Linked DNA regions of Arabidopsis thaliana. The protein of the gene in region 1 interacts with the protein of each later gene in a pairwise test. Each region holds a gene or a part of one and is shown in the gene's direction. Other genes may lie near its edges. The genes, in order: CEN2, SAC3B, TON1A and SAC3A.

Region 1 (6,265 bases):
TTAGTAGTATACCATATATGTGGTAATATCGCAGGTCCGATCCGAATGGTAACAGTAACGTAAATAGTGTAAAATGGGAAAGAGAACATAACAAGGTCTTGCTAGTGAATTAGAATATACAATTTACGTTGAACAAACGGTACACATAAATGAAACAAAAGTTGAATAGTGATCATATCAGAATATCAGATCAATAATGTATAAACAATATCAAATTTTAACTATTTTAATGATCGAAACAATTCTTATAACAAACTTAATTCGTATGACTGTTTTCGATCTTTTGATGATATATATTTTCAAAGGAAGTTGTCATTGTCAACTTGCAATTCAACAGTTTCTAATTTTGGGTGCTGTTGAAACCCAACTACCACATTTTGATGTATTTAAAACATTATACTATGCATCTTTCTGATACAAAAATGTATATCATTAATATGTATTAGAATTCTTAGAACATGCCTATATATCCAATATAGCTCATCAAACACTAACGAGTATAAAGACCATCCACTCCACCACCACATTAAGTTTTTGACTTAATGATCATCGGCTATGTTGTTGTGGTCCAACATAAAGAGTCTGCCGAGTTTGGTTTCACTGTCTAAATTGGAACCGTTTTTGGTTCAACAACTAGTTCACGCAGTAAAGTATCACTTAAATACAGTTAGTTCAACCGGCCATAAAAAAGTTTGTTCTCGTACATATGGATATTATTGATTTACACATTGAGAATATCTACCCATCTATTATTAACAATTAAGCTTGACCTAGAGAAATTCTGATGTAGATTTTTCTGATTATCTTCTCATGGTTAGGAACCAAACCTTACCTTGTTTCTCTACTCGAATCAATCTCTTTATTAGCTTATGTATGGTTTAGTGTTCTCTAACCAAACCAAGAAAAGGATTGGTTTAGTGTTAACATACTGTATTACTAAGTACATAGTTATTGGGCTATAAGAAGCTAACTGGGCCACAAATCCAGAATCCCAATATAAGTCAATGTACATCGTTTGCTAAAATCTAAAAACGGTATCTTTAATCTCAGAAAGGACATTATACAAAGATGATGATGTTACACATAAGGTCGTTTATCTACATCAACTTCAACCCACTAGTTCTTCATATTACATAAAGTCTCATAAAAGCGATTTCGTATCGAACTTTTACTCATAAAATTCCCTTATTCTATGATTAAAAAGGAAGAAATTCCAAAGTTTTATAGTATTTTTATGCAATGCCAACTTGTGTTGCTTCGTAATTCCAGGTACATTACATAATTTAATAAAATTAAAATGAACCAATCAAAAACAAATCCAGGTCATCATCATGACTTGGGCCGGCCCAATATCCCTGAGTCGGCAACACTCTCTCTCTCTCTTCCATTCCTTTATAACTAATCTTCAACTAACTTTTCTCTTCCCCCTAACTTTTTTCACCCAAATATTTCGACTTAATTACCAAAAAACCAGCCATTGATCGTAAAACCTTTCCACCACCGCACACCCCCTCGCCGGGGGTAGTGCGTCGCATACACGCGCCACCGTTACCTTCTACTTCTCTCTTGAAGCAACACTCGTGGTCTCCTGATCTAATCCGCGAGGAAGCTTGGTCAAAACGTCAAGATATCTCCCGCCACCGTCATCTCCGCCGTGGTAAGAGCTTGACCGACGAAGATCTCGACGAGCTTAAAGCAAGTTTCGAACTCGGATTCGGTTTCGGATCTCCCGAAAACGCTGATCCAAGACTTTCCAACACGCTTCCCGCGTTAGAACTTTACTTCGCCGTTCAAAAAAGCTACAACGACGCCGTTTCTAACAAATCAACAACGTCGTCGTCTTCACTCTCCGACGGCGATACCAGTCCTCACCACACCGTATACCAAACCAGTATGTATAAACATACACACACACACATATATACACATACACGATTATAAATTTATAATGATCAAATTTCATTTGAATAGGTGATGATCCGCAAACGGTGAAGACGAAGCTGAAGCAATGGGCGAGAGTGGTGGCGTGCACCGTGAACCAATCGCCGCCGAGATGATAATTTTAACGACTGTTAAACGTTGTGGGGATAAAGGTTAATCCGGAACAGGGTATGTAAATTGAGACGCCAAACAGTCGGTGGAGTCCAGTCAGCGTTGTAATATTACACACACAATAGTAAAATACTAATATATGTTGGACCCAACTTGTTTATAAGTTATATTGTTTATTGTATAATGCATGATTTGATTTGATTTATCTTCTTTTAGTATGTGATATATAATTTTATATATGCAACAGAACACAATTTGCAAAAGTATATTCTCAGATTCTATTGTCTGACTTTTGTCCATGGGAGAGTGGTGTTGGCTTCTCTTATATTCGTTGCTAAGCTTGATAAAGGATTATGCAAATTCACGTGAATTTGCATATAGTGATTAATTCAGATTAACTGATCTCTTTCAGATCAAAATCTTTGTAGCGTAACTTATATATATTATAACTTTTGAAAAGAAGAAAAAAATTATGGCCGAAGAAACGATCGAAATAGTGAGAAAATAGAGAAAGTGTAGGGAACGATGAGGGAGTAAGTAACACATCTGTGTTTTGTCTGATTGTCTGATTAAGAACTACACATAGCAGATCTGTGTTTTGTTATGGGCCTTCACTATTAGGCCCATCTGACCCATATCGTTACCGCTTTTTAGTATGGAAAAGCAACAACAATGTAAAGGAAAGCAGAAACGTTAGATTTCTTTAGACGCGCAAACTGAAAGAGCTTTGATCGATCGATTTGGAGGATTCGTAGAAGATATGGTTCGTTCTTACCTTTGATTCTGTCTTTATTTTTTTTATGTTTAGAGATTAGCAATTTCTAAGGATCTCTAGATAACAATTTTGCATGATGGATTTTTTTTTTTAAGATCTGATTTGTATTTAGCGAATGTTAGAATGAAGAAATTAGGGTTCCATGATTGAAGAAGATTTTAGACGAAACCCTTTAGTGTTAGAGCTGAGATTTTGAATTTTGGATGTTATTATTGCAGTCGAGTATATACAGAACTGTTTCGAGAAAAGAGAAACCGAGACGTCATCATGGATTGACGACACAGAAGAAGCAAGAGATTAAGGAAGCTTTTGAGCTATTTGACACTGATGGTTCTGGTACCATTGATGCTAAAGAGCTTAATGTTGCTATGAGGTAATATCGAGAGCTTTATATCTTTCTGTCTTTGTTTTATGGTTTTGGAATTGATTCTTGATATTATCATTTGTGATAGGGCGCTTGGTTTTGAAATGACGGAAGAGGTATTATTATTTCTTTCGTTTTTTCGGTTTTTTCCGCTAAGATTCGTTGTTTATATCTATGGTTCTGATACCTTGATGTATTTGGTATTGAAGCAAATCAACAAAATGATAGCTGATGTGGATAAAGATGGAAGTGGAGCTATAGATTTTGATGAGTTTGTTCATATGATGACTGCTAAGATTGGTGAAAGAGACACAAAAGAAGAGCTCACTAAAGCATTCCAGATCATTGATCTTGACAAAAATGTATTTACTCATAACTTAGTTAGTTACTTCATTTGATCTTAATTTTTCTAGAAGCTAAACTATTTTTCTTCCAAATTTTCAGGGGAAGATATCTCCGGATGATATCAAACGCATGGCAAAGGACTTGGGTGAGAATTTCACTGATGCTGAGATACGAGAGATGGTTGAAGAAGCAGACCGAGACCGTAAGTGTCCTAAACCTTTTTTCTCATTCTCTTGTGGCACAATGCTTGGTTTGACTAAAGATATATGATACATTACTGAAAACTGCAGGTGATGGTGAAGTTAACATGGATGAATTCATGAGGATGATGAGGAGAACTGCTTATGGTGGTAACTAGAAAGGTTGTTGCTGTTCTTAACGATATTTGATGAGCTCTATTATAGTTCTTTAACTGAGGCTTAATTATCTGTAATATTATTACTGAAGATACATATATCACAGTTTTAATCTATAGCTCATCTTAATGGCAAGTCTTGGTCTGTCTTTGTATCATTATAAGATGTATAAATTGGCAAAATATTCGTAGTCTTAGTGAAAAACTTTAGGAGCTCGCATTGGTTACTTCATAAGTCGTCAAGATTTGGACCTCTGCGCACATCATCATCTAGAAAAAGATATTAGATTTGTCTTGTCATAATACCCTGTTGCATTAAAGTTGTCGATTCATCATTTTTTCTTTCACAAAAAGTGGTACCATTTTATGTCAACCATAAGTTGTAAAGTTACACAACTGTGGAAACTTCACTTACATAACATATCCGACCTTTGAAAGCTTACATCAATGGATTCCAAAAAGAAAAAAAGATCCATTGATCATAACAAAGCATTTTCCTTAGGCAAAGTTTCCAAGTTAGCTTAAAACTTTAAAAGTTGTCGATTCATTGCACAAGGGTTTTGAAACAAAAAAGTAAAGCATAAAAAATTAATTCAATAAGAGTGTGTACTGATTTGTAGAAGCTATAAAGATAATGTTGACAACAGATACATTGGGGCCGTGAATTGGGTATTCTACACCGAAAACCTCACGACAATATTTTTACCAACCATGACGAAATTAAGCATTACCAAAGTCCCCATATAATGAATCCCCAAACGAGTAAAGAGAACAAAATCTAATTATCTAACGAGGATAAAAAGAAGAAAAAAAGGAAGCTAACTGATATATGGGAAAATTGAAAGGAAAAAAAGTCCAAATCTTCTTATGAAGCCAAAGCTGGTTGGGTTATTGGGATGAGTTTATATCTGAACGGACCTGGATGGTGAAGAATCATCAAATTGAGGGGGAAGTGGTGGTGGTAGTAGAGGAAGCAGAGGCACAGCTGTTACCAGTCTGCTTAGCCACATAGATTTGCTTGACCTTTGGGTTATTCGGAAAGCCTCTCTCTCTGGCCATGGGTTGGTTTCTGCCATGGTAGCCCGATCTCCGGTTTTGATGGTGCTGGTGTTGGTGGTGGTGGCTGGGCCCACCAACATGCTGAGACTGCGTGTTCTTCTCCTGAGAAGATTGTTGTTGTTGTTGTTGTGGTGGCTTGAAGCCAGGACCATTTGGATTCTGAGTGTTGTTGCTGTTGGGATCAGATAACGTGGAGGTGGGCTTTGCTGGTGGAGCACCAGTGGTGGAACTGTAAGCGTTTGAGGAGTCCACCATTGCGTCTACAACTGTGGATGCTTGAACGTTGGGATATCTGTTAGGAGGAGGAGGAGGAAGCATGTTGTTGTTAAACTGAGGTGATGGAAGATTGGAGCCATCTGTTCCTTCCTGCTGTTTCTGCATTTGCATCGTTGGAGGACCCGAAAATGGCATGTAAGGCCACCGTGCTCGAATAGGCATCTCCTGAGAAGAAGACTGACCCACACCATAAAATAAATATTAAGTCGATGGATTCTTCTACTAGTTAGCATTATTGGAAATCATAATGATGGGATCCAATACCTGGAAAGGAGATGGATCAAACATTGGCATAGGAAGGTGCTGAAGAGACGCAGGTACAATGTTACATTGCATGGAAGCCACATTAGGATTGTTTACATCACCATCTCCTCCAACCGGAGAAGAAGATACGTTTGGGTTGTGTTTCCAATCTGGTTGCTTTCCAGATGGGATGTAAGTTGTTCCCATGAAACTCAACCCTCCAAACTGTCCAACAGGTGCAAAGTGGTTATAAACAAACATGTGAGGAGGTCCCTGAACGCCAGGAATAGCACCGGGTGGGGTTAGAAAAGGACCCGTGAAACCGGCAGGAGGGGCATAGAAGGAATCTACTCCAGAATGACCCTGCTGCTGCCAGGTCGTAGGTGGACCAGATACTGTTACTGGACCTTTCTGGGACTGTGATTGGGTTGCTCCTGCGTCATGGTGCGGGCCAAAAGCAAAAATGGGTCCTCTTAACATGGGATTCACATCATAGAAAGGGTAATGAGGAGGGCCTGGAGGGAAGTGAGTGATCATTTGGTTTGAGTTGTGTGGACTTGGTAATTGTGGCCACAGAGAGATTGGGGTGTCCACTGAAAGATCTGCTGGTAGAGAAACAATGAGAGATTCCTCAGCTTTTGATCGACTAGTCTGCCCACCAACAGTACCTGCCAAAGCAAAAGAAATTACTTCAGACAACAAACAACCATTTGGGAATGCATAAACCCTACAGAAAGCAAATATACCACTTGCTGCCCCATCATCTAACTCTGTTCCTCCATAAATTTTGGTTTCA
Region 2 (7,137 bases), about 17 Mb from region 1:
GTTCTTCTTTCTCGCAAACATCGGAAGAATCCACCGGGAAAGTATCATCTGCCTTGCGCTTCCTCGATTCATTCTCCTCAGATATCTCCATCATCGAATTATCATCATCCGCGTTTTTCAATTTGGAATCCATGTTGGAGTAAACAACCCTAGATCTACGAGAAACGACGACTTTTGTAGTTGATCTAAGTCACGAGACTCGATCGCAACTATTTCAGGGGGAAAAATAATCTATTTTCAAATTTTTCATCACAAAAAGTTGTATTATATATTTAACGTAAGTTGTTTTAATATAATTCAAGTTAACCAGACGAAAAAAATCATTCTATAAAGCGAGACGATACATGTAACAACAATCAGAAACAAGAAAATGAAACTCGATCAAGAAAAAAAAACTTTTAATGTTACAGAGAAAAAGAGGAGTTTAAAGTCTTTAACAAGCTTTACAGCTACGTCTGCAATTCCCAGGGATCTCTGGAGTTCCAACCATATACTCTGGATTCTTTCCACATTCTCCAAGCACTGCCCATCTCTCACAGCTCTCGTTTACGTCAGTACAGTTACCATCATGTGTCAATATCTTATCGAATGAGTCCACGTGGATCCACTTAGTAGCCGACCATTTCTCTCCTTCGATCACTGGACAACCTCCGTGAAGGCTAAAGGGGTCTGGGATTGCGTCTTGTTGGAGGTTGAAGAACAACAGAGCATTCCCTTTCTTCGGTTTCACTAATAACATTACCAACCAATATCAAACACAAACATTCTTAGAGATAACATGGAAAGAACAAGTCATGATTCCTTTTATATATAGCTCACCAGCGATTCCTTTCTTTGCACAATCAGAAAGATCGTCTTTATTCTCAGAAAGCGAGCGGCGAGAGAATTCCTGCGCAGAAATATTCATCATACAGAAAAAGAGTAAAGACCTATTTGTCCACGTATATAGAGAACCAATACAAGATTAGCAATTGTGGAAATGTAAGCGGAAATTGGTGGTATTGTCTGAAAAACAACAAACCTGTGCATCGGGGAAAACAGTTTCTCCACCCTTTGTGACATTGGACAGATACAAGAGAACCGTTGCTATGCGGTGTCCACCACGGGCAATGTTGACTTTGTCGTGGAAGTAGTCAAAGTGAGCATCATATTTCTGACCGTGCTCATATCTCAATACCTGAAGGTCTTCCCCGTTTTCTGTGACCACAAAGTGAAGAACTTAGGAAACAATAATATCTTCTGAAAAACCCTTTCAAGAAACTCAACAACAGTTAAGGTTCCTTGTCAATTGACATTGTGAAACAGAGAGACCACTATTGAAAAACCATTCAGATTGTTAAAGTTACCTTTTGGGAGAAATGTCCATGTTGAGAGCTTGTCCTCGATACCGGAAACAATAGGATCCTGTCATTAAACAAACGAAGCTTCACATTAAGATTGTAATCACACTGAGATATCTAAATTTCTCAAATCTGTTCCTAATAATCACTAAGTATCATTCATCATCCTTCATCCATACACAGAAGTAAATTTATGTCTAGCTATCACCCTAAAACCTTTTTAGTAGTAAACAACAATCACAAATCAACACAATTTGGGGTCAATTTACTAAGATCTCGACTTATCAACATCATTTTATCAAACTCTGATGACCAGTTCAATATGTGTGTGAACTTTTGGATTGAATTATTCTAAAATTTCTATTTCCATCAGATCTTGAGGGGTTTGACTTATCAGATCCATTAGTATCAGAAATCACATCAGAGATTCAGAGTTCTTGAGGTCGAGTGTCATAAATTAGAATCAAGATCAATTCCAATCAAGCCATTCAATGAGATCTGATGTGCCGAATTAAAATTGCACCTTTCCTTTGGAGATAAAAGTGCCGGAGCTGGTACGAACATCACTGACTTGACTCTCGCCATTATCGTTATCAGCAACCGCAGATCTCTGCAGATTCTCTTTCGCCTTTCCCCAAAAAAAAAAAAACCAAAATTAGATACTGAAACTAGCACATTTAAGCCAAAAAGTTTCCAAATTTGAGCTCAAACCCAAAGAGCAAAATTCGCACTCACAAGAGAGATTAGATGATCACATTCCAAGTCCGTCAAAAAACCTTCATACACAAATGCCCTGAAGAAACAGTCAATACACACAGTTGGAGGTTCAAAGTTTCCAAATTTGCTTCATTTCTCACTAAATAGACAAGAGAAAGAGTAAAATCAAACCTGGGCTTCGACGAAACCTGTTTGACTTTAGAAGGATTGATGATAGAACTTGGAGAACTAATCAGACAAGTGGAAGACTGAAGCAAGACGAGCAATATAGCGACGAACAACAACAATCCGAGCCGAGACATCGACATTATAGCAATCGTAGTAATTTCTTGGATCCAGATGATCGAGATCGAAAACTAGAGGATAATTTTATTTATTTTTTCTCGGAAAATAAAGAGGGAAAAAAAATGTCAACGGTCATGAAAAGTTGATGTTCTACCTAAAACAAGGAGGCTCAAGGGAGATGGTGACAACATGCGCACGTTCTTCTTGGTTGAACAATTATTCTTGTTCCTTGACCAAAGCCCATAATAAGCCTATTGTTACTTAAAAGGCCCAACATAAAATTCGGAAATAAAAACGACGTCGTTGGTTTTAAACGTAAAATAATCCTCGCCGGACGGAAGAGGCGTCACCAGAACAGAAAATTCAATTTGCTCCGGTTTCGACTTTAGCCGGCGACGTAATTAAACGAAGGTTGAAGGAGAATTAGAAGAGAGGCAGCGATAATCAAGTCAAGGAATTTTCTCAGAGAATGGCGTTTAGGCCTTTCGGGAAGGACTTAGGTCCGATGAGCTCTAAGCCAGCGCCGTTTACACCGTTCGGTGCTTCTTCAACCACTAGGTGTGCTCTTCATTCTCTATAGATGTATCTATGCTTCAATCGGACTTTTCTTCGAGTTTTGAGATTTTTAGGATTCATTTCACGCTATGGATCTATTATACTCAGAGATTTTTTTGAACTGTCAAATTTACATATATGCTATCGTTGTATTAAAGTGTTTAGGATCATGAGAATGAGAGAAGTATCTTGAATTTTCTATGATATTGTGTTCTATATCACTTAGGCAGTCGGGTTTTGCTTCTTCATCTTCCTTAGGAGAAGCTGCGAGTTGCTTTACTTTGCTTTTTGTTCTTAGATTGTACCTTTCTTTTTTATTCTTACACACTGCGAATGTTGGATTTGCTTGTAGTGATTCATCAATTCAACCACCGGCGTCTCAAAACCATTCAGCCTTTGCAGGACAATCTTTTGGACCTGGTGGAATTCGAAGGTTAGATTAACCTTAGCTCTACAGCTTTGATTTCTTTCTATGCGAGTATGTTAGGTTGTTTCTGAGCCTCCATAGGAAGAGCCTATTGTGCTACTTGTTGTAGTTTTCTTTCGTAAATTCGCTCAGTTTTCTTTCGTAACTTTGGCTTGTAGTGGTCCTTCAATTCAGCGAGCACCACCTCTGTCGGCTTCTCAAAACCCTCAGCTCTCTATAGGGAAACCTTACCGACCAGGTGGGGTTCAAAGGTTAGACATTCTTAATCGTATGGCTTGCTTTTATTCCTTTTCTCTTTCAGTTCTATGTGTCTAATGATGATGTTAGGTTGGTTACTTATTCAATTATTAATTTTTCAGTCTACTCTCGGGTTTTCTTCTTCTTTAGATTCTAGCCTAAGTTATTATGGTTTTTGCTTGCAGTGTTCCTCCAATTAATAGAATACCATCTCCGTCGGCTTTTCAAAATCCATCACCCTCCTCAGGACAACCTTACCAACCTGGTGGAATTCAAAGGTCAGATAACTTACTATTATGGCTCTCTTTTTTTTTTTTCACTCCTTATACCTGTAAAGGATCTTCGGGAACCCAAAACAGTGAAGATGGGATAAACCAAATTTTCTGTTTTCTTTGGCTTTGATTCTTTTTGTAAAACTTCTGCTTGAATCTTCTATATGTTGCACTAATTTTTACGCCGAGAAAGTTATAAGAACACTTTGATGCTATGTTTTTCAGGATCCCAGAACCTTTCAATGGAATAGCATGGGGTCCAGAAGCTTCACGTACAAGCCCCTCTGTGAGACCTTACCAATTTCCTGGAGTTCAGAGGTAAAAGTGTACGTGACATATTTTGACTAAGAAGAGTGTCATTACTCATATGCGGCTGTGTTAATCACACATCTCAAATGCTTTCAGTTTCTGCAATTGAAATTATAGCAGTAGGAAGAAAGTAGAGTGTGGCGGAGTGCTATAAGTTTCTCTGCCTAATACATAAGGGCTTACTATGGCAGCGGCTTTGAAGCTCTAAAGAGATCATTATCGCTGGATTTGGCTTATAGCCTTTAATAAGCAAGCTGCTGGATTTTTCTTAACGACTTAGCTGAATTTACCTGCTTCATTTTTCCTCACAGGCCTAATTTAAATCCTCAATATGGGCACGATGGATCAAGGAATTTCTTGAAAGATCATGGTGAACATAGTCGAGCCACGTCTCCACCTGCTACATCTCACATTCTTTCCAGAATGGGAACTGATGCTGTTGAGATTGGTCGATCACAAGATTCAAAAAGAAAAAGGTCGTTTATGCCATTTCCTTTAGATCAAGGTCATTTATGCCAGCAGGATCTTTCTGAAATAAACATTCTGTCTGTTTTGTATCCCTATCTTATCCTTAACCTTTTAACATCTGTCCTTGTGGGAGTTTACACCTTCCTTGTTCTGCATCATGTATCTTACTCTTTCAGATTTTATCAGTTTGTTGTGTGGCCTAGGTGGTATGAATGAGATGTCATAGACATGGCCATGGTGTTTACTGATATCCTGGTTTTTTTGATGTAACTAATATCGGTCTATAAAATTCTCAATTTTTGTTGCAGTCGGTCAGATATTCTTCCTGACCAGAATATGGGGTTTTCTCGAAGAAATCAATCGCCAGTATCAGGTTTTGAGAATGGAAACTTGGTAGATGGTTTTCAGCCACTTTCTAGCCGAACTTGGATGTGAGCTTTTTATCCTCTTGTCAGTGTCATAATGTTTTCGTTTCTCATTCTCTTTTCGCTGTTGGTTTTGATTGGTTTTAAAAAGGTCATAAAATATTTCATTTTGTGGTGTCTTTACTCTTTGTGGATAATGATTTGAACCATACCTGTGTCTTTGCTCCTTGATCTTTATACTAATTTATTGTTCTATCCTCTCACTAACTTTTGAAACTTATTTCCTGGAACCTTTTCTCATGTTTGTGTAGGCGCTCTCCGTCTTCTGCGGAGAATAATCCGGTGAGGTCGAGGAGCAATCCCAATCAGTTGATTCATCAAGAACAAACCGGAAACTCGTCATTCCCCTATGCACATGAAGTAGCTGAAATTCAGGAAGCTACTAGAAGAAAGTCTTCGGCTGTAGCACCTTCTGATAAACCCCTTGGAGATGACCCCATATTGTCTCAACATGACTCTCAAAGGTAGACAGCATGAATCTCATCGTACATTCTAAAGCTTATTATGTTTTATTCACCCACTCTGTGCCATACGTGTACGTATGAATGGCAGGAGAAATCACGATTATAGAATAGAGTTACAATCCTAAGAAACTTTATCGTTAGCAAATCGGCTTAAGAAACTTTATCTTTAGCAAATCGGCTTATGAGCGTATTCACCTTAAACTTAGATGGTTGCTTGGAAATTTTTCTGCTACTAGCCTTTGAAGTCATGCTTACTTCTCCTGCAGCTTTATCTTAATGCTATTGCAACAAATCTACTTTTCTCTATCTGGTTTGATGTGCCTTTGAGCTTCCTCCTAGTTAAGCATGCTGTTTCTGTGATAGGTTTTCGACATCTCCACCTACGTCAGGCACAAAGTCATATACACTTTCAAGAAGTTCAGATTCTCAATTTCCTGGACAGCCCTCCTCTGTAAATAGTTTCAATAATGCGCGTAAGACAAACAGTTCACCTGCAACAAAAAGGACGAGATCTCCACCTGTATATCCAATTGAAGAGGATATCCCGCGAAACTCTTTCCCTTCTCAAGATTGTACAGAAGGGTACAATATTTAATCACGCAGTATTGACTCTTTGCATTAATCTGTGGACCAGTTCTTAAAGTTTTCTAAACGGTGTGGATTTCTTATAGAGAAGAGCAAGCCAGGGCAAAGAGACTGGCCCGCTTCAAGGGTGAACTGGAGCCTATTGCAGACCGACCTGTTGATATTCAACTTACTAAATCACCTGTAAATAAAACTATGAAGCCTCTGGACAACAAACAAACATTCAATTCGCTTGAATCAAGTAGGGATGCCCTGAAGGGAGATGCCTTGCCTGATTATGAAAACTCGGAGCAGCCCTCTCTTATCATTGGAGTATGCCCTGACATGTGTCCTGGTAAGCATATGCCTGAGACATGCATTAAATTGACAACTGAGTGTAAATAGTCTTTGGTTCATATAATCTGATAAAAAAAGAATTGTGTTGCCAACGATATTTATTTTGTCCATAAATGATGGCTAGTTCTAGTTATAGTAATCTGATCGCAGAACAAATATAATGATGGACTTTTTTCTTCATTTTCCCAGAGTCAGAACGGGGGGAGCGTGAGAGGAAGGGTGACTTGGACCATTATGAGCGTGTGGATGGAGATAGGAACCAGACAAGCAAATCCCTTGCTGTGAAGAAAGTAAGCTCACCTTTTTAATATCATTTAAGCTTCAGATTCTTTCTTAGATGAAATATACTAGACCACTCATTTGCCATGATGACTACTTATATATCTGCCTTTGGATAGTATACTAGGACGGCGGAGCGAGAAGCAATTTTGATACGACCAATGCCAATCCTGCAAAATACAATGGAATATTTGCTGAGTTTGCTAGACCGACCTTACAATGAAAACTTTCTTGGCATGTACAATTTCTTATGGGATAGGATGAGAGCTATACGTATGGATCTAAGAATGCAACATATTTTCAACCAAGAAGCTATTACTTTGCTGGAGCAAATGGTTTGTGTTTTCTGATCTTATATAAATCTCATTAAACAGGATGATAAACAATATTCTTTTTTAAATGCGTGTGTTCTTACTATTGATTTTCCTGTTACAGATT
Region 3 (6,861 bases), 1.7 Mb from region 1:
TTTAAATAAACCATTTAAAATATTTTAACTATCCTTCTTTAACACATTCATCCTCAAGCCTTTTTTTTCTTCTTCTTTATCACTAGTGGGATGGATCTTCAATTCCAAATTATTGGAGGAACAAGAAAGATGATAATCTAGACCACAACATAAACTATACAATAAAATGATAAATGTGTTATAGTCAATGAATAAAGAATAAGAGAGATGGTGTGATGTTTACACGTTTGGGGCCTAAACCAAAAAAAAAGGATGGGTCCAATATGCCAACTACTACTATTGTATTGAGAGTAGGAAGAGAGAGAAACCTTAATGGAGACAGAGGGACAGTGGGGTTATGTCAATTGTCATATTATTCAACCACTCACCAATCACTCACTCCAAATCTATATCTCTCTTTTTACAAATAATTATGATAGATTTGATGATAAGTTGGTTCTCAAATCCCAGCCGTTCAATTTATCCAGATATGCAAGAAAATATTAGATTTTAAGGAATCGGCCTTTCCTTATTTGGTAAGACTAAATATCTCTGTTCATTCTAGTTCCAATAGGTAAAAGAGTAACCTTTTTTCTTACATTATTAATAACTTGCATTGCACAATAACGTATTACCCTATAATTCACAATGATAATGTGTTTTGAAGTCATCTACACACTTCAAAGTTTATTACTCAATCGAAAATTGAAATATTGTCTACCACTCAAATTTCTTGAAATGGTTAAAATACTTGAACGTGTACTATATGCAAAAATCTCTGATATTTAACTGCTTTGAAATTTTTATCAGAATATTACTAGTGATGGGTCAATTTCTTTGTTAACCTTGTGCTTTATGCACTTATGTTTATAGTCTCTATTTTCTACACCTAAACAACACAATCTATTTGTAGGTTGCAACTCGGACCCAAATTTTTTGCTAAATTTTTTGTTGAAGTCTTATATTAAGCTAGGATTGTGACTTAAAATATGAATAAAACTCATATTGTTGGCTTAAAAAACGAATTAGGATGTTTGTATTTAGTAGGAACATAGTGTTATGAAACCACATCTGATAAACACATGATTTTAAAGTGTTTTAAAAACTATTCTAGCTTCAAAACCAGTTTCTCATTCATCCCGAATCTTTTTTTCCATCACATATATAGTAAATTCATGATAGAATTTTAATTTAACCTAAATATATATAGTTCATAGTTGGTTATGTTCAATCGATTAGAAGGGTTCTGTTGGATCCGAATTCGAGACCTAGGAACTACACCATGATACATTTGGGGAAAATATGATATACGTTAGTAGGTCAAACACAAATATTATCTAAGATTAGCCTCCGGCCAGAAAATTATGGACTTTGTATGTGAGGGAGATTGAGAAGCGATTGCTAAGATTAATAAATATGGGGCTTGTTGGTAGAGTAGATCTATAAAAGGGGTGATAGAGAAACGAGTGGAAACGCATGAAGCACGTTATAAAATTGAATAATTGAAGATTCAACCATATTCTTTGATAATTGGTGGGCATTTTTATTTTATTATTTGTTGTCAAATCTCTATATAAAGAAAAAAAATTGTTTTAACGTTTTCGGTTTAATGTTTGACGCATATATGTGGGAACAGTTTTGGGCGACGTGGTAGCTTCCCCTCCTCGTTTCCCCCAAAAGCCAATGCTTAAAATGACGAGAATACCCTCTCCAAAAAACCATGTGCTCCTAAGTCCTGAACTAGTTCTGATTCTTTTCTTTTAGCTATATAGGGAAGTGAGACTTGCGAGGGTGAGTATGTGACATCAAAATGGAAAACACTAAGCTACATAACCGTTGGACTAAAATGGTAATAAAAAGAAGCAGAACAGAAGTAGGTGAATAAAACTGAGAATGGAAACAAGAAACAACTGAAGAAATCGGATTTATATACGTTTTTGATCATATTCTTTGGTTCAAACTCTATAAATAAGTTTCTTGGCTTCTTTCTTATAAGAAGAATCGACTACACTTTAAGTTAAAAGACCACAAGCAATACACAGTTACAAGAAGAAAGAAAAGTAGTTCCAAGTACTCTCTCTACTTTAAGTTATAAGATCACAAGCAATACATAGTATTTAATAATTAACACAAGAGTCGAGCTTGGACTTTCTTCTTTCTTGGGCCTTCTTCTATTCCGATTCATCCCATTGACAAACCCAAAGCGTTGGATACTCAAATGCTCATTCGTAAACACGTATCCTCATTAGCTTTTTCTTTCCCATTTTGCTTGAATGTAACTAATTAATTTGGTTTTTTTTTTAATTAGTAAGTGTAGTATGTCAATATTGTACAACTAGATGATACTGATCCATTAGAGTAACACTAAAGTTACCAAAGTTTCATACAACTCCAACGACAAGCAAGGTTAGGCCTTTCCATCCAATATTATAATCTAAGAAGGAGCGATTGCCCTTGATCTGACCCAACTTGCGAGTGGAAAATCTAATGCTTATTTGTTCATTCGTTTTCTGAGATTCTATATCAAATAATAGTCAGTCATCACTAGAAAATGCTCAAACAACTAATATGATTCATACACATTTCATATCATATGCTTGGCAATATTGGACCGAACTTCATGATTTTTCTGTCCATGAATGCAAATGTGTTGTGATCTCTGAGTTACATCTCAAAATGTGAACTTGACATCATATTCTCGTTCAAAAAAGGAAGATAAGACAAAACATTTAAGAAACATTTCACAATCATAGGGGGCAAAAGATCAAAATTTAAAATTTCGGACGAGAGTGGAAACTATCAATCTTTAAGGGGATGATTTGGCAAAAGTGTTGTTTTTATTTTTCTTTTACTGTTTTCGTTTTATCATCTTTCAACGTCTTTCTCTCCCGACGGCCAAAAACCCCAATTTTGCCAAATCCAATTTTACACCCAGAAACCCTAATTTTCCTTACTTTGATTTGATTTTGTGATGGACGATTATACAAGAGAGATGATGGATCTCAAGACTTTGGTCACTCGAACCCTAGAGAAGAAAGGTGTCCTCGCTAAGATCCGGGTAAATTCCCTCTACTTCTCTACCATACATTATTCGCAGAAATTTTTGAGTGGAAATGAGAACAGAGAAGTGATTCGTTTGAAATACATACATTACTCTTTTTCTAGGGTTCCTGCTATTCAGATCGAAATGCTCGATATTGTTAATTGCCTATGCATCTGGAATCTTGCTGATAGTTTATTTGTGTTTGTAGGCTGAGCTCCGTGCAAGTGTGTTTGAAGCAATTGAAGAAGAGGATAGAGTGATAGAGAACAATGAAGGACCGCCTCCAGCTCTGTTGGGAAGCTGTAATGATCGTGCAAGGAAGCTTCATGCTTCTCCTTCAGGTTTTTTCTTCACAAGTTTTTGCTTTTATCCTTTTAAATCTTTCCTCTATGAATGGTTTGGTTCTAAATGGCATCTCTTGGTTTGAAATTTTTGTTGAAATGCAGGAAGGTTACTATCTGCGTTGATTTGTGAATACTTGGACTGGGCACAACTTAATCACACGCTCATAGTTTATCAACCTGAAAGCAATTTGGTAATCAATATAATCCCGTTTTCTTTTGCTATGTTTCATTAAGAAGATTGTTGATGAATTTTTCTCACTAATCTGGTGAACTCCTGCAAAACCTATTCAAAGCCAAAAGATTCGTGGAAGTCTGAGTTACGCGACTTTAATAGCAACAATGGTTTTGAGCTCAATAGAAATGGAGATAGTGGACCACTCCTTCTCGATGTTCTTGAAGGGTTCTTGAAGTTTGAGGTATTTCTTTCTTTTTTTCCCCTGAAGATGTTTGCAGCCAAGTGTGAAACAGAACTTTACTATCTATAACTTCTTCTCTTAGTTTACAATCTTTACAACCATACTCTAAACAAATTACAATAGTCCACCTGTAGTATGTGTGATTTATGAGTTGTAGTGTTAACAGTTCCTATTATGTAAGTGAAGATGATCAATACTTTACACCCAAGCTTTACAAACACCAACTTACATAAAATCTTGGTACTCTGTCCTCGCAACCAAGAGAAGAAGTTATAGATAGTAAAATTCAGTTTTCCAAGAAAAATAAAGTCTCTTAGTAGAGATTAGAGTTCTTCAGAGATTTGAAAAACACGTTTAGCAAATTTCCTAGCCTCAAGTTCTCTTCACATCTAAGAATCATGTTTCCATCCTATCATAGTTAAAACCATTATCATCTGTTTTTGCCGTATGCTCCTCAGATGTAGTGATCAACTTTTTTTTGTAATGAATTTTTTCTTCAGAGCATGACGCAGGGCATGGGTAGTAGTTCAAGGAGAGATTCAGAAACAGAGTCGTCATCAAGCCTTGAGTCCAGAAATCCTCCTCGCAGATCATCTGCTTCTGATAGCTTACCTCCTCAACGAAGGTACACATATCTTCAACTTCTTATTATTATGCCAAATCAAAGATCGTTACTCTTCGACATGATTGCTTTATTTACCTTCAAATAAATGGGCAGGCCGGTTTCTGCATCTCAAGCATCGGGTGAGTCATCATTTCCCTAGTTTCTTGAAGTATTGGTTGAAATACGTATGCTTCATTATTTTTTGATACCAAATAAATATGACAAGATGTTACAGATAGAAGAGCCGGGTTGTCTACATCTGGGTACAGAAAAGATGAATTCAACTGGAGACAAGGTAACCAAGATACACATGAAGAGGTAACAAGAGCTTCAGCGGCGCTGGAAAATCTACAGCTTGATAGGAAAACTCGGAACTTAACATCGTCTTGGAGGTAAGCTTTCAAGGAAGTCTCATTGAATCCCACATTGAAATGAAAACAAAGCAAGTTGTGGTAAATCTGATCCATCGGGCTTGCTTGTGTTGTAGGAATGTGAGGGATGGAACAAATGAAGAAGAAGGGAGAGATTGATTTAGGCTTTGGATAAACATTTCAGCTTCTGGATTAGTAGAGTAATGGTTTGTGTACGTGATATATGTATGTTTCTCCTTTATTTGCAACTGCGTTTTCAATTAGCCTTTTTTTTAACGCACGAACCTCTGTCTCCTTGAGAACAAAAAACATGAAACAGTAAAATGTTTTCTTTTGAGATTTGTTATGGGAAGAGAAGAGTTCAGAAAGAAGAATCAAAGAAAGCACAATGTGGTTGAATATTTTCATTCACTTGCTTCTTATTTTAGTGTCTCCAAAATTATTATGTCTCTAGTAATAAACAAGGTTTTTGAATGATGTGTTCACTGTTTGTTTTACTCGTACTTTTTTTTTGTTTTCCCTTTAGTCTTCTCTCTCTCTCTCGCTTCTTCGTTTAAAACTTTAAACTAAAGTATCGAAGAAGCCAACTCTGGATGACGCAAAAGCTTCTCTCAGAACGGCATTGTAGAATTCTCCGGTGACCAAATAATCCGATTGCATTAGTAGGGAATCTGTTATTTTGATCTGATCCGTCAAATTGGCGGTAAGAACAATGGACGATTATACAAGAGAGATGATGGATCTCAAGACCTTAGTCACTCGAACCCTAGAGAAGAAAGGTGTTCTCGCTAAGATCCGGGTATATTTGTTTTTCTCTTGCCACGATTCCTCTGGTTCTGTGACATACTTCATTCAAATTCCGTAGAGAGATTTGAGTACAGAGAAGAAGAGAAAACATACATTGCTTTTCTAGGGTTCGTGCTTCCAGATCTACTTTATGCATCTGGAATCATGTGAATTCCCAGTTTTTGTCGTACTTTGAAATTGAGTCTGTGAAAAAATTGTACCTTCTCAGCTGAATTGGATTCTTTAACATTTGGTTTGGAGATTGAAGATTTGTTTTTTTTTCTCTATATTCTTCTGCTGAAATTTTAGTTGTTTCTGTAGGCTGAACTCCGTGCAAGTGTGTTTGAGGCAATCGAAGAAGAGGATAGAGTGATAGAGAACAATGAAGGACTGCCTCCAGCTTTGTTGGGAAGCTGCAATGATCGTGCAAGGCAGCTTCATGCTTCTCCTTCAGGTCTTTCTCAATTTTTATCCTTCATATCTTCTCTTCACTTTTACCCTTCAGAGACCTTTTCTCTTTGAATGGTATGGTTCTAAATGGCATGTCTTGGTTTGGAAATGCTTTCTTGATACTTAGATATATTCGCTTGTTCGAAATGTGTCTCCTTGTTTTTTTCGGGTGAAACTTTGCTTGCTTCTATTCTTAGGCGATATGAACATTGAGATTTTGTGTAGTTGAGTAGGTCATCTTGATCACTTTATAAAATGTTAAAATGCAGGCAGGTTGCTATCTGCATTGATTTGTGAATATTTGGACTGGGCGCAATTAAATCACACGCTTAAAGTTTATCAACCAGAATGCAATTCGGTAATCAATATATTTCATTTTCTTTGAACTTCTGATATTTCTTTTAAGTACGTTGAAGATGAACTTTCTAACTGATGCTGTGATCCCTGAAAACCTATGCAAAGGCAAAAGATTCTTGGAAGTCTGAGATACGTGACTTTAGTATCAACAATGGTTATGAGCTCAACAGAAATGAAGATAGTAGACCGCTTCTTCTGGATGTTCTTGAAGGATTCTTGAAGTTCGAGGTATTTCTTCTGCTTTCTCTCTGAAGATGTTTACACATACAGTATAGCTTTTTTTTTTTTCTCTGTTTACAAGCTTTACAACCATATTTGTTACACATTACAATAGTCCAGCTATGGTACATGATTTCAGGGCGTTAATGTTTACAGTTCCTCTATTCTCTAAGTGAAGATGACCAATACCTGTTGGTTACATCGAAGCTTTACAATTACCAAATTAGTTCAAATCTTGTTACATTGTGCTCACGACCTCACATTTTTTCCAAGTAAATAAAGTGTCTTACTC
Region 4 (10,068 bases), on another chromosome or scaffold:
TGGTAGTTTCTTGGCTGGAATTATAGGAGTCGGAGTAGGAATAGGTGCAAAATATGCTCCAAGGGCATCAATAGCTGAACCTTCCTTTCCATGGAACCCGACAAGCCTACGACCCTTTTGCTCTAGCTTAAACTTCTTACCTCCCTTATACCCAGAGAATGACGTTCTCCCCTTCGATGTTTCAAATGTAAGCGATGTAATGACGACATTGCGGAAAATGTCCGGTTTATCATAGGTTGCTTCCACCGATTTGATGTATTCATCCGGGTTAAGCTCAAACTGCAACAAAATCAAAATTTAAGAATACTTCTGTCGCAAGATATCAAAAGTTATATTTAAGACCTAAATTTTGGTTGTTCTACTATATCTCACAGTTTCTAGAAATTTACCTTCAGTGATCTTTCTTGTTTCACCCCATGGCGACATGTCTCTAACTTACCGCCTTTCTCGTACTCGAACTCTAAATAAGTAATACGAGAATTATCTTGACCAATACGCAGCGATTTAACGCCGTCGTAAGAACCATCATCCCAAACACGCCCGTCTGTACCACCTTGGGCATCCAGCTTGTAAACAGGCGGAGACGTTGTTAGAGAGCCATGTACAAAGTAAACTCCAAGCGCGTCGAGAGCATTACCCGACCGTCCATGAAACCCTACGATCTTCTTTCCTCCATCCTCAATAACGAACTTTGTACCGGTCGTAATTCCAAGCAAGTTTGGACCAAACAGTGGTGACTTTCTACCCTTTGAGGTCTTGAAGACGAGGTTTGTGATCACCTCTGTGGCACATAGAGCCACTCCGCGATAGTTTCCTTCCACCGCTATGATATGTTCGTCCGGATATTGAAGTACAAACTGTTTATGAATTAAATATCATTTCTTCAATCAAGAAATTAAAATTTCTAACCAAAAAAATCAAGAAACTAAAATTCACGAAAAGAACTTATAATTGATCGGAGCTTGTAGTATAATAGTTTGTTATAGTGTTGTAGTGTGAGTTTTAGATATTTGATGTAGAAAATTTGGAATGTGATGAGAGGGTAAATGAAGTGAAGAACCTCTTTGGGTTGTTGAATGATTTTCCCATATTCAGTTGTTACGACTTGGCCGTCTTCCTTCACATACTCGAATTTGACGTAAGTGATACGATTGATATCTTGTCCTACATACACTTTTCTTACACCCTCATATACATCATCGTCCCATTCACGCCCTCCTTCACCACCGTAGCCTGTCAACTTCCGGTAGATTTTCGCCATTTTGTATTTTTTCAAATACTGTAAAATGAATTTTTTAACTAAATTATCCAAATCCAAATAAAGTGTATATTCAAGCTTTATAATGTTTACTAAGCCGGGATCCCGGATCTGTGATTGGTGATACACTAGCCTATTGAATTGCATAGCAAGACATAGAGAGCAATGATCAACTAATGAGTACCTATTTACGAAACTAAAGTTGTAATTTGTATAAACAAATCAGAACTTGAGAGAGAGAGAAGAGAGAACCTGTAAATTCTTGATCTTATTCAGAATGAAATTAAGGAACTATCAACTATGTCTATTTATTGATACAATTTGGAACACGTTTTTGTTGATTCCAATAATTTAGTTATACTTGTAAGTTGTAACTAAATCATGATTGACCTTTTTCTGTTCCCTTTACTTTTCCTTCAAAAAGAATATGAGAAGGAAAACATTTTACAAGGCCAAACCAATCCCCATAATTTGTAATTTAAGTCATATTAGAAGAGAAATAGCCAAACTAACCCAAAATATATTAGAGATCTCAAGAGCATCCTGGCTGCATGTTATCATTCTGGACGATATGTCACGAGACGAGAGGTTCTAACAAATAAAGCAATAGATGATTTTGATAAGAGTCCAATAATACTAGCATATTACAAGTTGTCAGATGGAGACATCCATGATTGTAATGAACAGAGGAACAAAACAATTTTGTTTCACAAAGAAATTTTGTTATAATATTTTTCATATACTGTTTACATCGTCGTCCCATTCACGTCCTCCTTCATCACCGCAAAGTGCCAACTTCCGCTAGATCCTCATCCATTTTGAATCACCAAATTAATCCTTAAAAATGAAAAAAAAACAAACTAAACTATTTGTTAGTCCAAGTATGAATGCATAGCTTTATAATCATTTCCTAAGCTGGATATGTGATTGGTAATAAACTAATACTACCATGACAACATTGTACCCTATTCATATACATCGCAATAAAATACCAAAATTTTCCACTAATCGCAGATAGAGGAATCAACTAATGCATGGTAGGGTAAATATTTATAGTGTGATGTTGATAGCTCTATTATAGGTGTACTATATAAATCAATGACGATATAAGTATACTGTATAGTATTAAACAAGCCCCACACAACAAACTGAAATTGCATCCACATATTCATTTCTCACGTTTATTTCATCTATATATCCTACCCTACTTGCTCATAAACTTTCCTCTCTTGTCTTAAACTTTTAACGTTACAAAGTCACAGCCACAATATTCTATCCTCACCGATATAATAATCACCGCAACAGTATAATCTTACCTTGATATCTATTATATGGATTAAAACCCGATTTCTTACTAAACATTTGACACTTTCGCGTAGAACATAATCTGTACATACGAATTTCGAATTCATATATATATATATATATATATATATATATGTTGGATAATGATTGTTTTCTCGAATATTGTGTCGATTTATAGTGTAGTCATATTTTAGATAGCTACTCCGTTCATCACCAATAGCTTGTTTCTATGGTTAATTTCTTTCACTTATTAGATTTATCTCAACCAATCACTCAATTAGTTTCTAGAGATTGTTGTGATTGCTATACTACATGTTAAGCACTTTTTATTTTTGCCGGATTTCTTGGCCAAAAGGGTTGGCGATAGAAGCAACTACATTAAATTCATGACCTAAGCTAAATTACATGTAACGATATACAATACAAGATTTGTCTAAACTAAACATTGATTCAACCAAAACTTATATAGACTATATATTTAACCCAAATACTTATCATATAAATGTTTTCTTTTTTGACGTCAACACAACCGTAAACATTCGAAATCTTATATATTTAATTATTTACTATGCTTGTTATTTCATTTGTCGACGTTGTTTTTTTTTTTTGCATTCTTCAGATCCACTAAGAAAAGGCAAGTCCGAAAGATAATGGGCCCAATTAGTGGCTATATAAAAACCCGACCCGGAAAGACTAAACCTGATCCGCAACCGAACCGACCCGACGACGCTAGTATACCGTAAAAATTTGACAATCTTCGTCTCCGGCACAACAAAATTGTTCTTCTTCGGCAAGATTCCTCGATTTTCTCCGTGTTCTGTAATTTCCGATAGATTTTGACAACTCTCTTTGATTGTTTCCCTTTAGCTTTTTATTTTTATCTGCCTTTTTTTTTTTTGTTGTTGTTCCGGTTCTATTCGTTTCCTTTTGTTACCTTGTTTTTGGTTTTGATCTCAAATCCTGCTCTGCTCTACTATCTTCAATTCGATTCTTCATCCGAACGAAGAAGACACAAATTGGAGCTTCACTGGTACATATTCTTGACGCTTTATCTCTGATTTGCTATTTAGGGCTTTTCAATGAATGAATTTAGTTTTTCTGCTATGTTCATTGGGAAGTAAGTTCAATCGTATGTGTGATGATTTTTCAGGACGTTGATGATAAAGCATGAATCACGGAGGGAACACTCAGGCCGTAGCACCAATGGACCCTAATTCCATTGAGGTAATTAACAATCTCTTGCGCCTTCTCTTTCTTTTAAGCTTAAATTTTTCCAATTTGCAGATTTATTTAGTCTTTATATGCAAGTGAAATTTCGTGCATTGGTTCAATTTTTGCGAATTGAATTTGTTTATTTTAGTTTGCTCCAGATTTAACTTGGTAGATATGAAAGTTATGCTTGTTGTTAGTTCACCATTGTAATGGTTAGAGGAATTTTGCATGTCAGTATGTTTATGCAGCAGAAAAAAAGTGACTTTGATTCTAGGCTCCGTATGTGAACTCTTGGAACATTTCAGAAAATCAGTTTCTGCTTTAAGAATAGACCTATCATCAATTCTGTGGAGCCGTATGATTTTCACTAGTAATATGTTATGAATACAGCTCAATGATGCAAAGTACAACATTTTCTATTAGGTGTTAGGTATTGTTACGAAACTTAGCTGCTGATCACTTACTTCATGGAAATTTGCAGTTTTATTGTTTGATTCAATCAGATTGATTTGAGACTGTGGGAGGCTTTAGCATCCTAATGTAGTCTTTATCTGAGATGACATTTCTGTTTGTTGTTTGTCTATGTTTCTTTTCACTCTTCAACTTTTTGTTTATGTCTACTTGTTAAATGAAGATTCTCAGACCTTGGCCAGTACTAATGTTTTTTCTTTTATGCAGAATCGATATGGTGTTGATGGAAGCCAAACACAGAAATATTCATATCAATACTCAACTGGGTCTGAAAGTGCCCCATGGACAGGGCATTCTGTTGAAAATCAGGCTGTGGAGAATGGGAACTATTCAAATTCAAACTATTACCATCCACAGCCGACAGGGCCAGCCACAGGCAATGTGCAAGAGATACCGAATACTGTATCCTTCACTATCTCATCGACGTCCGGAACTGCAAATGTGGCACAAGATTATAGTGGATATACGCCATACCAGACCTCTTCTGACCCACACAACTATTCAAACACGGGATATTCCAATTACTACAGTGGCTATCAACAGCAACCTAGCCAGTCATATCCTCAGCCTGTAGGGGCTTATCAAAACACAGGTGCTCCTCAGCCTCTTTCCTCATTTCAGAATCCAGGATCTTATGCTGGGACTCCAAGTTATTCAGGAACTTACTACAATCCTGCTGATTATCAGACTGCTGGAGGTTACCAAAGTACGAACTATAACAACCAAACGGCTGGAAGTTACCCAAGTACAAATTACAGCAATCAGACTCCTGCTTCGAACCAGGGAAACTATACGGATTACACCTCAAACCCTTATCAAAATTATACTCCTGATGCTGCTAACACACATAGCTCTACTATTGCGACCACACCACCTGTACATTATCAACAGAACTACCAACAATGGACAGAATATTACAGCCAAACAGAAGTCCCCTGTGCCCCAGGCACAGAAAAGCTGTCTACCCCAACCACAAGTGCATATAGTCAGAGCTTTCCAGTTCCTGGTGTTACTAGTGAAATGCCTGCTTCAAATAGTCAGCCTGCCCCGTCTTATGTCCAACCTTGGAGGCCGGAAACTGACTCATCCCATCCACCTTCTCAACAGGTTCAGATATTACTTTCATGAGGGAGTAGAGTAAATTTGCGCCCTTAAGCTTATTTGAGTTTAGAATGCTTTTCTGCTTTCAGCTACTTGATAAAATGTGTGTTATTGTCCTTATAAATCAACTAAGTTGGGAAAAGAGTGATAGTAACTGACCTGTTAGCTACCAAGCAATACTGCATAGAGTCAATTCTTAAATGTTTTATTTGCAGACAGTTTAGACATGATCTCTGATTGCTTTCTTTCATGGGGGTCCTTTTTATTGAATACTAACTTAGTAATCATTTTATCATCATTCTCTCAGCCTGGTGCAGCTGTTAGTACATCTAATGATACTTACTGGATGCATCAAGCACCAAGTCTGCAAGCTCATCATCCTGTTCCACCTCAAAATAATTACCAGAGTCCTCTGGAGACAAAACCTTTATACGAGACTCCCTTTCAGGGTCATCAGAGAGCTACATATCCTCAAGAGATGAACTCCCAGTCTTCCTTTCACCAGGCACCGTTAGGCTATCGCCAGCCTACTCAGACAGCACCGTTAGTGGATTCACAAAGGGTAAGCAAAGTACAGATTCCAACTAACCCTAGAATTGCTTCAAACTTGCCATCAGGTTTTACCAAAATGGATAAAGATAGTACAGCAGCCAGTGCAGCCCAAGCACCTGCATATGTTAGTGTTTCAATGCCAAAGCCTAAAGACCATACCACTGCTATGTCTGACGTAAGAATCCTTTATTCAAATCTTGATGACCTAGCAAATGAAGTAGATATTAAATGTTGGCCACCATAAATTTGTGTGTTGAGTAATTGTTTCTTTCTCACAATTGAGTAATTGACATTGGAAACAAATAATGCCGATGCTTGTAGCCTGGAACCTTCCCAAAATCGCTTCGTGGGTTTGTTGAGAGGGCTTTTGCCCGCTGCAAAGATGATAAAGAAAAGGAATCTTGCGAGGTTGCCCTGAGGAAGGTAAATGTTAGTAGGAATTGTAGACGCTCTGGTTGTTGGACTATTGTAGCATGATAGATGATTTTAGTTACACACTCTGCTCATCTTAATATTATTGCAAAATTTGGATGAACTTCTTCAACTTGATCTTTCGAGTAGATTTGTAGTATGTTTAAGATAATTTCATGCCTTTTATGGAAGAAATCATATAGCAGTTATTTGAATACCATGTTAATTTATGGTTGCTTTGCATTGCTAATGCTTATTTTTGTATCTCTAGATTGTCAAAAAAGCAAAGGAGGATAATACTCTTTATACTCGAGATTGGGATACTGAGCCTCTCTCAACTGTCACGACCACAAATGTGACTAACTCTGAGTACGACCTTTTTTCCTCCATCCACTGCTGCCTGCATGATCTATAACTTTCGTTCTTCTATATGATATGTCTGGAACACTTACTTCATATGTTTTGCCCACTAAGTTTTACACTGTGCCATAGGTCAAGCTCCGCTCAGCTCTCTTCGTTACAAAATAAGAGCCCAACAAGACGACCCAAAAGTAGATGGGAGCCGTTGGTGGAAGGAAAACCTTTTGTGAAGCCAGCTTCAACTTTCAGCAGTGCTGTTAAATTTGGAGTTTGGAATCACCAAAATGAAAACAACAAAAAGGTTAACCAATCTCTTCCTTATTATTTATTAATGTCTGGTTGAAGGAATTGAAAAGAAGGCATTTAGCTGTTGGTTTAATGAGGCATTTAGCAGTTGGTCTAATGTTTTAGCTGTTAGAACTCGGTTTTTGCAGTCGTTCTGATAATCGGAAATTTTGCAGAGCTCTGAGAGTTTTCAAAAGGTGGATGCTGCCACTGGCTTCAAGCCCACTTATTCTGGGCAAAATTCTGCAAAAAAAAGTTTCCAGCGGCCTGTCAAGCGACAGCGTTTTTCTGGTGGTGCAGCTACTGCCATTGATGATGAGGCATCTAGTGATAGTGACAAGGATTTGACACCTTACTATTCCAGTGCAATGGCACTTGCTGGTTCTGCCGAGGAAAAGAAGCGACGTGATAGTCGTTCCAAGCGTTTTGAAAAAATTCAAGGCCACAGCCGAGGGAATGATCTTACAAAACCTAAGAATGCAAATGTTGGAAATTTGCATTCTAGAAGAGCCACTGCCTTGAGGCTTAGCAAAGTTTTTGATGAAAGTGGCAGCAGAGCTGTGGAAGACATTGACTGGGATGCACTAACTGTTAAAGGCACTTGCCAGGAAATTGAGAAACGTTATCTCCGTCTGACTTCTGCGCCAGATCCTGCCACCGTAAATATTACTATCTTATATTCTTATACCTAGTATTCTTTTTGACACCATGACTGATATTTTTGATTGACTTATTTTCAGGTAAGACCAGAGGATGTTTTGGAAAAAGCTCTGATAATGGTTCAGGATTCTCAAAAGAATTATCTTTTTAAATGTGATCAACTAAAGTCTATTCGCCAAGACCTCACAGTACAACGGATACACAATCATTTAACAGCTAAGGTACATAACTGACTTCCAATAATGTCGAGTGTTATTGCATGTAGGATTCATTTCCTGTTGGAACGTTTATCTTATTTACACCCAATTAGCATGTTTATAATGGTTCCATGTGCAATCTCAATTTCAGGTTTATGAAACACATGCTAGATTAGCTTTGGAGGCAGGGGATTTACCTGAGTATAATCAGGTTGGTACGCTAGCATAGATTGATAGATCAATCAGAATTTCTAGTTCAAATTCGGTATCAAGCACTTTTGTCTTTTTCGTAATTTAAAGAGTATCAACCACTGCTAGAATTTCACTGGTCTCTCATTTTCTAAAAAATAAAAAAGCAACATAAAGTGTTGAATCAGAGAGAAACTTTGCAAAAGGGAGCATAGTTCTGATGACTGGTTACTATGGATTGTGGCTTTTGTTTGCATTGATTCTGCAATATAATGATACCGTTCCATCAAGTCTTGTAAAATACATCTGTTGTCTATTCCTGAGGAGACTATAACTCTTAGGGTATGTATAGCCTTGCTAAATTGATTTCTATTTTTTTTTTTGTTACAGTGCCTGTCACAGTTAAAAACTCTTTATGCGGAAGGTGTAGAAGGATGCTCTCTGGAGTTTGCTGCGTACAGTCTACTCTATATTACTCTACACTCTAACAACAACCGAGAACTGCTATCATCCATGTCCAGGTTAGTAGTTGTAAAGTCCCATCTCTGGGCTCCTTTTAAGCATGATGCATTCATGGTTCATGGGAATTTTTTTTATAAATTAAGGTTTTGTAGAAATATCAGAATATGGTTTGCTACACAATTTCTTTGAGTTAGTAATGGAATTATTAATGTTCTGTCCACCTACCTGATAGTTGAGTTTTTGTAACATCTCTTCCTACCAGTGCAAAGAGGTTACTACTACCTCTTTGAATTGGGTTTGTATGCATGAGATTGAGTAATTTTGTGACCTCTGTTTTGAAGATTATCCGAAGAAGATAAGAAGGATGAAGCAGTTAGACATGCTCTTTCAGTTCGTGCAGCTGTCACATCAGGGAATTATGTTATGTTCTTCAGACTCTACAAGACTGCACCAAACATGAATAGTTGCCTCATGGGTAAGGGTCATATGATACATGAAAACTCTCTTGATATATTTAAACAATTGAATGAGTAGATATGTAAAGATATGGTGAAATTGTTATGTTTGCAGATCTCTATGTGGAGAAGATGCGTTACAAGGCTGTGAATTTTATGTCTCGTAGTTGTCGTCCTACAATCCCGGTCTCATACATAGTCCAAGTGTTGGGATTTACTGGTGCTGCAAGCGAAGGTACTGATGAAAAGGAGACCGATGGTATGGAGGACTGTTTGGAATGGCTAAAAACTCATGGTGCTAACATCATTACTGACAGCAACGGAGATATGCTTCTTGATACCAAGGTAAGTCTTCTTTTGCATTTGCCATATGTTTGTTATGAAACTTGTAGATCCTTATTTTCAAGATATGGATTGAGAACTGGTTGTGTTATTCCTTGTGCAGGCGACATCAACGAGTCTCTTCATGCCAGAACCCGAAGACGCAGTTGCTCATGGAGATCGAAATCTAGATGTCAATGATTTTTTTACACGTACATGATGAAATATTTTTAATGTTTGTTATAGTCTGATGGAAACAGAAAAAGCAAAATCGAAGTTCATCATATCTTTTGATCTTAAGGAGACCAATGAAGATAATCCAAGGCTCTCTGGCTTCATCATCATCATTATCTGCTCACACACACAATCTCAGGTATGACATTAGGTTTATAATACTTGATAGTCTGTTAGTAGGAAACGTTTGGAAGATAAGTCAAATTTGTTTGTAAAGACGTTTTTGTGAATATGGAAATCCTTATTCTTCTATAAGATTTTGAGATAAGGGAATCCAGGAGACATACCTCTTTTTATATATATGAAAAGAAACCATTTTCATTAAACAATTCAAGGAATTACAAACAGAAAATACAAGTATGTTTTGATTTGGGTCTTCTAGTTGTTTTCACCTCCGCTTGTTCTTGCTTCCTAGTAACAAAGTGAAGTAGAACAAAATCCTAAAAAAGAACCCAAAAGCAACTGTGATGAACAAGCAATTCCATTTACTCAGCTGAACCACACCTTGCTGCCTCAGAATATCTGAACCAGTAGTTAAACAAGTCGTGCTCGATATCGTTACCCCGAGGGACTTGCTCACTGTACCAAGAAGCTT

What was found.
Region 2: the proteins of CEN2 (region 1) and SAC3B interact in a two-hybrid assay, tested with the Arabidopsis thaliana proteins (one study listed by BioGRID).
Region 3: the proteins of CEN2 (region 1) and TON1A come close enough for resonance energy transfer, tested with the Arabidopsis thaliana proteins (one study listed by BioGRID).
Region 4: the proteins of CEN2 (region 1) and SAC3A interact in a two-hybrid assay, tested with the Arabidopsis thaliana proteins (one study listed by BioGRID).

Annotation. Positions count from the first base shown.
Region 1 is NC_003074.8:18,671,609-18,677,873, forward strand, and holds CEN2 (centrin2), read left to right. Parts: upstream 1-2,528; 5' UTR 2,529-2,812; coding exon 2,813-2,815; intron 2,816-3,045; coding exon 3,046-3,200; intron 3,201-3,279; coding exon 3,280-3,307; intron 3,308-3,400; coding exon 3,401-3,553; intron 3,554-3,635; coding exon 3,636-3,738; intron 3,739-3,826; coding exon 3,827-3,894; 3' UTR 3,895-4,153; downstream 4,154-6,265. Other genes in the region: AT3G50350 (membrane insertase, putative (DUF1685)), read left to right, coding at 1,298-1,322, 1,475-1,891, 1,995-2,098; AT3G50370 (uncharacterized protein), read right to left, coding at 4,828-5,403, 5,491-6,137, 6,216-6,265. UniProt on the Arabidopsis thaliana protein: Potential calcium sensor.
Region 2 is NC_003074.8:1,902,972-1,910,108, reverse strand, and holds the start of SAC3B (SAC3/GANP/Nin1/mts3/eIF-3 p25 family), read left to right. Parts: upstream 1-2,811; coding exon 2,812-2,900; intron 2,901-3,195; coding exon 3,196-3,330; intron 3,331-3,482; coding exon 3,483-3,575; intron 3,576-3,746; coding exon 3,747-3,839; intron 3,840-4,058; coding exon 4,059-4,151; intron 4,152-4,411; exon of another isoform or gene 4,412-4,453; coding exon 4,454-4,618; intron 4,619-4,918; coding exon 4,919-5,041; intron 5,042-5,286; coding exon 5,287-5,499; intron 5,500-5,862; coding exon 5,863-6,081; intron 6,082-6,142; exon of another isoform or gene 6,143-6,170; coding exon 6,171-6,418; intron 6,419-6,609; coding exon 6,610-6,710; intron 6,711-6,818; coding exon 6,819-7,034; intron 7,035-7,134; coding exon 7,135-7,137. Other genes in the region: P4H2 (P4H), read right to left, coding at 434-729, 820-889, 1,022-1,197, 1,347-1,404, 1,864-1,968, 2,076-2,133, 2,229-2,365. UniProt on the Arabidopsis thaliana protein: Component of the TREX-2 complex (transcription and export complex 2), a muliprotein complex that functions in docking export-competent ribonucleoprotein particles (mRNPs) to the nuclear entrance of the nuclear pore complex (nuclear basket).
Region 3 is NC_003074.8:20,378,662-20,385,522, forward strand, and holds TON1A (tonneau family protein), read left to right. Parts: upstream 1-2,798; 5' UTR 2,799-2,950; coding exon 2,951-3,037; intron 3,038-3,230; coding exon 3,231-3,363; intron 3,364-3,468; coding exon 3,469-3,557; intron 3,558-3,659; coding exon 3,660-3,782; intron 3,783-4,282; coding exon 4,283-4,407; intron 4,408-4,500; coding exon 4,501-4,526; intron 4,527-4,621; coding exon 4,622-4,778; intron 4,779-4,873; coding exon 4,874-4,916; 3' UTR 4,917-5,217; downstream 5,218-6,861. Other genes in the region: TON1B (tonneau 1b (TON1b)), read left to right, coding at 5,470-5,556, 5,865-5,997, 6,263-6,351, 6,456-6,578. UniProt on the Arabidopsis thaliana protein: Involved in the control of the dynamic organization of the cortical cytoskeleton. May play a role in the organization of microtubule arrays at the centrosome through interaction with centrin 1 (CEN1).
Region 4 is NC_003071.7:16,420,313-16,430,380, forward strand, and holds SAC3A (SAC3/GANP/Nin1/mts3/eIF-3 p25 family), read left to right. Parts: upstream 1-3,228; 5' UTR 3,229-3,593; intron 3,594-3,713; 5' UTR 3,714-3,730; coding exon 3,731-3,787; intron 3,788-4,453; coding exon 4,454-5,353; intron 5,354-5,654; coding exon 5,655-6,074; intron 6,075-6,220; coding exon 6,221-6,322; intron 6,323-6,581; coding exon 6,582-6,679; intron 6,680-6,802; coding exon 6,803-6,971; intron 6,972-7,131; coding exon 7,132-7,614; intron 7,615-7,695; coding exon 7,696-7,836; intron 7,837-7,963; coding exon 7,964-8,023; intron 8,024-8,391; coding exon 8,392-8,522; intron 8,523-8,544; exon of another isoform or gene 8,545-8,728; intron 8,729-8,804; coding exon 8,805-8,938; intron 8,939-9,033; coding exon 9,034-9,263; intron 9,264-9,363; coding exon 9,364-9,459; 3' UTR 9,460-9,796; downstream 9,797-10,068. Other genes in the region: JAL23 (jacalin-related lectin 23), read right to left, coding at 1-279, 390-857, 1,061-1,405; ABCG1 (ABC-2 type transporter family protein), read right to left, coding at 9,862-10,068. UniProt on the Arabidopsis thaliana protein: Component of the TREX-2 complex (transcription and export complex 2), a muliprotein complex that functions in docking export-competent ribonucleoprotein particles (mRNPs) to the nuclear entrance of the nuclear pore complex (nuclear basket).